Arabidopsis thaliana: one gene and its partner. The protein of the gene in region 1 interacts with the protein of each later gene in a pairwise test. Each region holds a gene or a part of one and is shown on either strand. Other genes may lie near its edges.

Evidence for each region. Proteins that work in one complex are often made in the same cells at the same time.
Region 2: the proteins of IBH1 (region 1) and BEE2 interact in binary tests that used the Arabidopsis thaliana proteins (3 or more experiments, as listed by UniProt).

What each region holds. Positions count from the first base shown.
Region 1 is NC_003071.7:17,906,415-17,911,824, reverse strand, and holds IBH1 (ILI1 binding bHLH 1), read right to left. Parts: upstream 2,819-5,410; 5' UTR 2,579-2,818; coding exon 2,108-2,578; 3' UTR 1,615-2,107; downstream 1-1,614. Other genes in the region: SPPL3 (SIGNAL PEPTIDE PEPTIDASE-LIKE 3), read left to right, coding at 41-111, 303-386, 483-592.
Region 2 is NC_003075.7:17,241,220-17,246,973, reverse strand, and holds BEE2 (BR enhanced expression 2), read right to left. Parts: upstream 3,392-5,754; 5' UTR 3,276-3,391; coding exon 2,985-3,275; intron 2,900-2,984; coding exon 2,720-2,899; intron 2,628-2,719; coding exon 2,421-2,627; intron 2,337-2,420; coding exon 2,196-2,336; intron 2,105-2,195; coding exon 2,009-2,104; 3' UTR 1,678-2,008; downstream 1-1,677. Other genes in the region: AT4G36550 (ARM repeat superfamily protein), read left to right, coding at 1-1,574; AT4G36530 (alpha/beta-Hydrolases superfamily protein), read left to right, coding at 5,204-5,303, 5,385-5,492, 5,580-5,718. UniProt on the Arabidopsis thaliana protein: Positive regulator of brassinosteroid signaling.

The DNA.
Region 1 (5,410 bases):
CTCTCCCACGATTAATACTTGCTCCACTCTTTGATCTCAGATATGACAAGATAAAAAAGAGGGTAATATCAAATGGGTACTTCCTCTGGTTGACTATCGGCTATGGAATAGGTAAGTGTCCACGCATTACTAACTCTGTGAACATTAATGGCGTTACATAGCTTATACAACAGAGTAAATGATCTCAATTATTTTATATTTTCCGACTATAAAATAACATAGCTTGCTAATCGAGATGGCTTCTCACATTCACAGTCTTGGAACTTAACAGAAACATTGTTTCTTCCTGTTCTGTTTTGTAGGTCTATTACTGACATACCTAGGTCTGTATCTTATGGACGGACATGGCCAGCCGGCACTATTGTACATCGTACCCTGCACACTCGGTAAAACCAGAAGCTTGAGTTCCCTTTCCTCCATCTGTTTTTGAACACTCCTCTCCATCGTTCTCAAACAAAACCTGATGTGTTTTCTCTCTGTAGGTTTGGCCGTCATACTGGGGTTGGTAAGAGGAGAGCTTAAAGAACTATGGAATTACGGTATCGAAGAATCAGAGTCTCACACACCGGAGGATCCAATGCCTGTGGCATAATAACATGATTCAACAATATTCTAATGATGTGTTATCAATCAAACTGAATTAGCTTTTCCCCAAAACATCGAGCATAGCTTAAGCAGATTTCATATGTGAGAGGTACACAAAAGCTGATGATGTAAGTTCTCTGCAAAGCCAAAGTTAATCGGATACCAAAAGTAATTCAAGACACATCGGAAAGTACTGTATTATATCGTTTTTTTTTCCTTGTTTTGGGGGAGAAGAAAGAAAGGTTCTCTAGTAAGACTCATGACATGTTGTACAGAGTCTATATTAACCTTCTCTTGAATTCAGACTCGTTTTTGTAGAATTTCAAGTATAATGCAAATTCCCTTTTGTTAATCTTTGTGTGTTTTCTTTTTTGGGAAAAATAAGTCTTTGAAAATTCCATAAAACTTGAAAGTTTGTTCAAATATTATTCGACTGATGGAATGAAATTCTGACGAAAACGAATGCACGAATCAGATATTTGATGTGAAATATGTGGAATTGACCAATTTGTCTGTTTACGTACACGTGTATAATAATTGACAAATTAAAGTAGGACACTCGTATGAAATATAAGTATGACCAACTGCATAAATAAGACGTGTAGATAATCCTTCCAACGGAAAATGTGATTATAAAGAAAACAAGTAATCAGAGTCTTGTAATTTTTGTTAATAATGTTGTTGTGAGCGACCATTTGAATTCAATCCGACATAAATCATGAAATGTTAGAGTTATACAAAAAAAAAAATCTCTCTTACCTGAAAAAAGAGTTATACAAAACAAAAAAGGAGTTAAATTATATATATTCTACAAAATTCTTTAACCTATATAATGTCAAGTATTTTTAAGACTTATTCAAGTAACTCCGTGTTAAACAAAAAAAAATCATTTAATTAAATGATTCATAATTCTATAAATATATATTTTTAAAATTATTAGATTTATCATATATTTTCTCAAAAACATAAACAGTCGTATATGTATAGGAGATATATAAATACAGAATGTATATTTTATGATAGTTATAATTCCGCTATAATTTTCTTATAACTAATATGTTATAACTTTATATATATAATCCATCCATAGAAACATCATTGACGAATAACACAATCAAGAGGAACCAAGTAAATTGCATAGCTTAAAAGAAAAGAAGAAAGAAAATTCTCTTAGCATATGATAAGTAATAAATCCCCTTTTATCATATGACAAGGGCAAGTTACCAAGCCCTAATGTTTAAACCGGCCATAGCATATGATAAATAATAAATCCCCTTTTATCAAAATTCAAGAAAAGAAAAAGAAAAAAATCTTTCGTTACTTCGAGACTAATACATATCCACACATTTCATATATGTATCCTATCTTACACGTATGTATATATATAAGAATATATATATATATATATATATATATATACACATATATATTCGTTATGATTACCCCAATCCAATAGACTATGTATGTGTCGTATCTCTATATACATCGATCATTGATGATGATGTTGATGATTAATTGATGATCATTTGGGAGATAAGCCATCAACGAGACACTGCATGACCTTGACCTGCATACTAAGGCACTTGATGTAATGAGCCGTCTCTTCCATCAGCTTTGACGTCTCCATTCCTCCGCCTCCCGGAACAAGATTCCTCAGCCTCTCCGCCGCCTCCTCCACCACCGGAGCTCTCTGGTTACTCCTCCTCCGTTTTGATGATATCTTCCACTTCCTCCTTGAAAATCTTACGATCTTGTTGTCATCTTTGTCTGCTCTACGCAAGAGGGCTCTGCTCCATAGCCGGCTACTCCCTCCGGCTGCTCTGGCCATGGAAACGTACGCAGCCTTCTTGATCTTCCTCACGCGGTAGTTTTTTTGGTCCGGAGTATCAAAAGGGTTTTGTTTTCTGAGATTTGAGAGGGATTGGAGGAAGTGGAAGGCAAAAACGTCCTTTTCAGGGACATCTGTGTTTATGAGTTTGTCTGCAGAGGCCATTGTTTGGGTTTTTTAGAGAAGAGAACTTGAGTTGAGAACCTTTATAAAACTTTTTTTTTTTTGAGAATGACACAATATTAGGGTTAATATAAATGGAAAGGTGGAGAGAGAGAGAGAGATAGAGAGGAATAAATAATGTTTATTTTTCCTTGTACTTAACTTTTCTTTATGTTTTTTTATGTCACAAGACACACAACTATTCAAATTCTCTATAAAGTTTAAATTTAAACTATAGGTTCAACTATTTATAACTCATGTTCTAAAAAAAAAAAGATGTGTTAATAGCTTTGAAATATTGAATTTTGGAGCTTAATTGGTCCGTCAAAGTTACGTTGCGTAAAAATATGAGAATATGAAGTTATAAGTGGCAGTTTTCTTCAATGGTGAACAGCAAATAAATACAGTTCTATGTTTAACTTTGGGGGTTTACTAATATTAGTTCAAATTTTTTGTAGATTCGTCTGTTATGGTTTAGTGGTTTGACATCGATTGCTTACTGGTGGCTACTTAGATGTGTAAATATATCATTATGTGTTAGAATTTTAAAATGAAATGTGAATTGTATAACCCATGTATTTCGGAAAAGTATAATTTACACCTAGTGTTATAAAGTCTTGAATAAATAAATGGGCAATTAGTGGAAAACGATGTTTTGGAGCTTGAAGAAAAAAGTTGATGCCAATAGATTAACAGAACTTGGCTATTTTGGGTATATATATTTGACTATTTTGAAATTTGAAATATTAATGTATACTACACCCAAATACAATATATATAGCATTAATGCTCGTATACATCTTAGCTAAAACAAAATAATAATTCGGATGATGTTTAAGTACTAGACGCAAATTAATCAAGCTCGTTTGGTTCATAGCTTGGTATTAACGGAAAAAAGAGCAATTTAGAGCAGACATCAGATTATGGAATTAGATTCCAACCACACTATTATGTTTATTTGTTTGTTTTTATAAAAGGTTAATTTAGTGACGAATGCGTATGAATTCATTAACGTGAACAGCTAATAGAGACTATTATGATAAAATTAGGTAAGCTATATACATATATGTATGTATTTATGTTAACATTAGTTGACAACTAATGACGATTAAGATGGAATATGATCGATTGTGGAAAACATATAAGCTCATTTTCAAGGCAAAAGAAATAACAAAACCCAAAATATCAATTTAATTGATTCATTACTTGCTCGATATTTACTTCCACAAACAAAATTCAGCCAAAATCCAACTCTCGTGAAACGACTGATTGAGGATGTTTATTCGAAACTGAGTTTGAACTATACGTTAGTTTAGAAAGTAACACCATTGAACCTGAGAATAACTATGATTATTTCGACGATATAAAGTGTTAATAAACTTAATCAATTAGCCACTCGCATCATCAAGATAAAACGTGTTTAAAATTGATCAGATATATAACAAAGTATTCACCATGCAAGAGAGCAACAACAAAATATGAGATTATTCAATTGGCTTGACCAATAGATGACGTTACAATTTATATACACCAAATATTACTAACCAATTTAGAAAAGACAACACATGAAAATATAAAAGAAGAGAAGAGAGACTTGAGGAATACGATAAGTGTTTGGTTAAGGCTATAATTTAGCATTAGTCCCATCTCTTTTGTGTTAATCACTCTCTCCCCTACCGCTTTGCCGCCGGACGTATTTTTCACGCCATTTAATTCTTTTGTATAACATCATCATGATCATATTTATCTTTTTTCAAGATTCAGCTCCAAAATCCCTTAAATCTCACTGTTTTCTCTAAGGTTTCAAATTTCACATCTATCATAAAAATACGTTTAAAGATTAACAATTTCGGGTCAATAACAATTTACAAAATTGTTGATATTAGGAGTGAAACCAAATGAATAAGAAGGTGTTAATCATATAATAAGAACTAAAAAAGAGTTGAAGAAGTGGTAGAGTAGGTCCACTAATGGGCCAACCACCACATGAAGGCACATGGCTATGGCCTTTACCCACCTCCACTTTCCTTTCTCTCTTATCTTTATCTTTAATTTTTTTTTGTTCTAATTATTCAATTAATATTAACTACACCATTCGTTTTCTTTGATTCTCTTCTTAATTTAATAATAAGTCGTTGGGGGCGAATAAACTTTATCATACTAGTTGATTAAAATATCCCAACTAAAAATGTAAAACAAAAACAAAAGAATAAATGCTATTGGTCATTTAGTAATAATGATTTACAAAATGTTGAAAATCAGAACGTGTGAAAAGCCACGTAAGCACTGACGCCTCTTTTGTTGTTAAAGAGGAAAAAAGAGTGTTTGGTTGTTTTATTACGTTATGTTCAAAATGAAGACGGCTGATTAAGCTTGACGTTACAACTGTCGGCGACTTTGCTCCGTAACTGTTGACGTGGCTCCGTTTTACTTTCTCCGGTGGATAACATGACGGCGCTCATTTTCTTTCATTTTTTATTTAAACCTCAAAGATAATTTATGCGATCGACGACGACGAGTCACGAAGCAAACCATGACTCAAGCATATATAGTGTTTGTAACTTTATGCAAAAGCATATATAATAAACTCATTGAAAATGTCTTATATAACAAAACCAGTTACGAATTACGATAGCCTAAATAGATGTTACAAATATCTTTAACTATGTTTGTTGTAGTACAGACATATTGTTCAAATATCATCATAGAGAAGTCCATGTAAAACGGATTGAAGATCAATTTTCGGTAATTTAAATTCTTAAAAGAGAAGACCATGTCATATTAAAATCGACAGTAGGAAAGATCTAATTAGTTAAACATATTCAGACTCTCGGT
Region 2 (5,754 bases), on another chromosome or scaffold:
ATCAGTCCATCGATGATTCTCTGCATGCTAATGCTGCAGAAGCTGAGGCTTCTGAGGAACACAATGGTACACTTCCTGAGAAATTTAAGTGCACGCTTTCTCGTACCGTGATGTATGATCCAGTCATCATCTCCTCAGGCAACACCTTTGAGAGGATGCAGATTCAGAAATGGTTCGATGAAGGTAATGATTCTTGTCCTATATCTAAAAGGAAACTGGATGACTTCACATTGAAGCCTAATGTAGAGCTTAAGAGTCAGATATCAGAATGGTGCGCGAAGAACGGTCTTGATGTTCAAGATCCAGCGAGGAAGCACGTAAAGGCTTCCAACAGTATCGACTTCTCTGTTTCCATCGCTAGTTTCGGAAGTTCTCTGTACAACATCCCTGATCACAGCGGCATTTCGATTACGGATTTCAACTCGAGCTATTCCATTGATTCGTCATCCTACTCTAAGATGTCAAAGGGTGGTTACTTCACTCCAATGCAGAGGATAGATTCTGCTTCAGGCGCTGGTGACACAGATTCTAGTCACAGCGAGATTGAGATAGATCCCTTGTGTGGACTCACAAACCTTCCATGGGATGCGCAGATCAAAGTCGTCGAAGATGTAAGAAGTCGTTTTGAGCACAGTACTCGTGCTTTTCGGTCTATGTCACCGAGTAAATTTCTTGAGCCACTTATCACATATTTGAAGAATGCTCTCGAAAGAAATGGCACCGCTGGAGAGATAATAAAGGGTGGATTGGATTTGTTGCTGGCTTTCCTTAGTGGAAATAGGAGAGCTATAGAATCTTTGGAAGAAGAGGTTTTCAAAATGTTCTCAGTCTTTCTTGAGTCTGAGGTAGTAGCTGAAGAAGCTCTAAACATACTTGAGGTTCTGTCAAACCATCCGCACGGTCCGTCCAAGATAACTTCATCAGGATCTCTTTCTTCCCTTTTGAAGATCGTAGAGTCCCAAGCAGAACATCTCCAAGAACAGGCTATGATCACACTCAAGAATCTTTCATCAAGCATGGAGATTTGTCTGGAAATGGTATCTCTCGATTTCATCCAGAAGCTCACATCTTTCTTGCAACAAAAAGTTTTCTGCAAACACTCGATTATCATTCTGAAAAACCTCTGCAGCACCGAGAAAGGTCGGGGTTGTATCACCGAAACCCCGGATTGTTTAGCTTCCATAGCTGAATTACTCGAGTCAAATGTTCCCGAGGAGCAAGAGAACGCAATCTCCATCCTCCTTCAGCTCTGTGTGCAGAAGATAGAGTATTGCTGTCTTGTCGTGAGAGAAGCAACTGATATTTACTCATCTCTAATCTTGATATCCAACAATGGAACAGAGGAAGTAAAGGTGAGTGCATCAGAATTACTTAGAGCTCTTGTAGAAGTAGATTCCGACAAAGAAGAAGAAGAAGAAGTTTCCTCCAGACCAGAAGGAAGAACAACTGCTTCGCCTACTTCACAGGTTGTTACTCCAGTTACTCATCCGGAACCTGTTAAAATAACACCATCTCCCAAGAAATCTGGTCTTTTTGGATTCAATTTCTCCAGTCTCAAGAAGAAGAAAAAATAGAAAGAAGCATAAGATACATTATTAGGCTGGATTTAACTTAATTTTTGAGAAATTTTTTTGATTTTTTTTTTGGCTCTCTGTTTGTTGGCTTAGGTTTGTATATGTTGATACCAGGCCAAAAGGCATCTCCATTAATACAAGTGTAGTTGTAATTTGTGAAGGAAATAATTGTTACGACCACAAGAGTTTGATTCTACAATGTACAAAAAAAGGAATTGCTATGACCACAAGAGTTTTTTCTCTTTCTTCTACACATATACATATCCCCTGGAATATATGTAAATCACTATATTTGTATGAAGATAATAGATTGAGAAAGATCTTTGGATTGGTTTCCTCTGTCTCTTTTGGTTCAAATTTCAGATAAGATAGATAAATGGATAAGACAACAACAAAAAACCGCGATTTTTTTAATGAGGCTATCCCTAATTTTTTTACTTGAGGCTGAAGAAATTGGAAACAGAATCGGTTCTCAAGCTGTTGTAAAGACACTGTGAGTGAGTTTCCCAGCTTGATGATGTATGATCTTTCTGCAAAACAGAATAAGAAATAAGTTACTTCACGGACAAGTAACAAAAAATTGGGACTAATGAAAGATTTGTCTGAGATAAAGATTATTACAGCGCCGAGAGATGTGGTGTGGTCTGAGTTTATGACTGAGTAATCTAAAGATCCTTGCTGATGTAATGGAAAAGACCGAAAATCCGCCATGATTGACTGCTTCGAGTCACCTTCTGGAGGACCTGTGAAGTAAGCCTGAAACTAGATTCCAATATTTAACCAGTCAATAAATGCGGTAATTAAACTCTTGGTTAGTTCTTGGGATGAAAACTGACTATTATTCACCTGTTTTGCGGATAAATCATCGATATGACACTCAAGTTCTGGATTTATGACAGAGAGTTTCATCGACAAGAACTCGACTTGTTGTTGCAGAGATTGGACATAGTTGATGATCTCATCAAGCATACCAGCTTTTCCAGTAACTTTGTTGCATCCAGGAACAATATCTTGTAGACATTTCATCTTCTTGCTTATCTTTTCTCTTCTTGCCTGCCAAAATCCCACAAATATAAAACCACTCAAATCTCTAATGAAAGTAATTTCTCTGAAACCTATTTAACAACAACACTTTAGTTAATTACCCTCTCTGCTAAGCTATGTCTGTCGGTGGCTTCACCTCGTCTAGCCCTAACATGAATGTAATCTGGTTTCTGAATTTCTGAAGATGTCTCTGTGTTACTCATGTTTGATTTCCCTTTCATGCTTGGCTCTGTTTCATCCTCTGCTTTGATCTTCTTCTTCTCTCTCTTTTCTGTCTTACCCTAAAACCAATAGTTAAAACGATCAGAAACAATGTTTCAAACAAAATCTAAACTCTAATACTCAATACTTTCTTGAGCTACAAACCTCTGGTTTTCTCTTGTTCTGCAAGGTAATGGCTCTGCTGTGTCCATTATTCTTCACTGGCTCCATATGGAAGCTACTTGTCCTAGAAATGCAGCCATCAGTAGTATCATAATCCGGTCCGAATTCGGGAAAATGTCTGAAACTCTGCAGCTCATCATTGTTGTTTCCCAAGTAACTCTCAACTCTTTTGAGCTCTTCTCTCCCATCTGAGCCAAGTATCTGAAGAAACTCAGGTGAAACCATTTGTTGCTGTTGCAGCCACTTAAGCCTATCAAGTACAGACAAGTCCATGAAGAGAAGGTAAAAAAAAAACTTTAAAAGGCTCTTATCTTTTCTTTGAGGGGGTTAAAGCAAAAGAGAAAAAGAGAGAGTTAAGTTATATATGTGTGGAAGAAAAGTAATCCATTAGATATAATTATTCTTAGCTTTAAATAGAAAGCAACATTGACCCACACACATGAGATTCGAAATCTAGTGAGAGAGGGACAAAATTGATAAAAGTGGAGGAGGTTGGGGACAAAGAAGGTGAGATGAGAAGTTGTGGGGTCTAATTGACATAACCTACCATGTGGTCATGTCCTTATGAACATGAGATGAGGAGTCTCTTAAGTTAGTCTCTTTTGTGTCTTTTCTCTGTGTTTTTTTTTTTCCTTTTGGCCTTTCAAGTTTTTGAGAGGATCTTTTTGTTTGGCAACAATAATCAAACTTTGTAAAACTTAAGGTTCATGAGGGTATTATCATATAAATATCCTCTTTTGTAAAATCAAATCATTGAGTTTTTGGTAAGACAACCTTCTAATTGTACCAATTTGTTTTGTTAGAGAGAGAGAGAGAGAGGGTCTTTCTTAGGCTTGAAGGTGGAGAATGTGGGGAATGTGAATTATGAATCTTAACTTGCAAATGAATAGAAACAATGGTTTGAATCATGAGTGATATCATTTCAATGTCTTGTTGTGAATCTATACGTGATCCTTGTGACGTATGATTACTACCCTTCATCAATCCATAGATTACACCAATAATTTAAGTGGATTTCATATATTAGAGAGATGGCAACTCGATGAATATATGACATATTATAATATCACATATTATAATTCATAACTGATAGGGACACAAAATAAGCGACCTAAAGAAGAAAATGGGTTTGAAGATAAGTGATAGGAAGGTAGGCGACACCATTGCTTTTGATCTAAGTGTTTGGTCCCTATACTTTCTTTTTTTCCCTATTAATTATATATCTATACATTATCTATAATGCGTGACATAATTCAAGAGAATCAATACTATTTCGATTTTTTTTTTTTGAAGAACTTGAAAAAATATATCCAAAATTAGACCGATTTCAATAACACACCGTACAGGTTGCTTTGAGGTTTCCATTTCATTGGTTCTTTGGGAAACATCAATAACAAGCTGCTTATGAGATGAGAAGAGTAAATGCTTCAAATGCCAAAATACTTAACGTTGAGAGTATCTGTTGTTTTTTGCAATTTCCACAAAAAAGTTTTAGAAAGTTTTTGATTCAATGGGTTTCAGGATGTATTCTTTTGTAAAGAAGTTTGTGTCAATGCATTCATGTTGCAATTAGGCATTTTGTCGAATCACGAAAACGGAAGGAACACTCGTATTCGTCACATCAAAGTATAAGGCCCTAGATCGTGTGTATCACGTCTCTAATTTGCTTACTTACAAAACTGTGTTGTTTGCTCTTTTCACTAATGATGGATCTATGTGATAACAGGAATCACATTCCACGTCAATTATTTCTGTTTACTTCAAAAGAATGTCACACCTATGCAACAGTGAGACAAGATCTGAGGAAGAGAGTTAGAGAACATGAAATTTAAGAAAGAGTGCTTCAATATCTTGTTGTGTACAAATCAATAGTTCTGTTTGATAATATCAACTTGACAGCTTTTGTCAAAATGATGAGTAAAAAATCAGGATCTTTGGGACAAATACGGCTGAACCGGCCGGTTTAGCTAAGTCGAAATTACCGGCCTAATCGTTAAACCATAAAAACCGCAACTTTCAGAAACACTCTGCTTCGTCGAGCGGATTCGACTTGTCTGGCTCAGGGGTCGCCACAACTCTCCCGCAAGTTCACACATACACTCGGTGCTCAAAAAGTTTGTCCTTTTTGCATCTCTCAGTTCTGAAATATCTGGTTCTCTTGTCCTTGAAAATTTTACGAGGTTGTTCTCTGTGAATAATCGATGTCTGCTTCATGTGCTTTAACACCGTCTGTTAGGACAGAGTTATTCAGTTCATCATCATCTAAAAGATCAATCTTTCCTGCTAGAATTTGTCGACCAAGTAAGATTCAACTCCAACCTTTCATTTAGATGTGCCCCTAAGCCTGAATTATGAACAATCTGTTTAATCTTTGCAATGAAGGAAACAAATGTGAAATCAGCAGAAGGGATTTTGCAATTAGGGGAGGGATTGTTGCTTCTGGAGTTTCAGTCATGGATACTTCTTCTGCTTCTTCTCAGTCTGTTCAAGGTAAAAAAAAACTAGCTTTGGAACTATTGCTTCTCTCTTGGTCTAAAAATGTCATCTTTGTTAAAAAGAATTTGGATGATTCTTTAGGTAGTGAGAGGTTGGCTTTTAAACCAGAAGGCTATAACTTTTGGGAATGGAGAGGTCACAAGATTCATTATGTTGTTCAAGGAGAAGGCTCGCCTCTAGTTCTTATTCATGGTTTTGGTGCTTCTGTCTTTCATTGGAGGTACCTTCAATCTCACCTCCATGCTCTATTGATCAG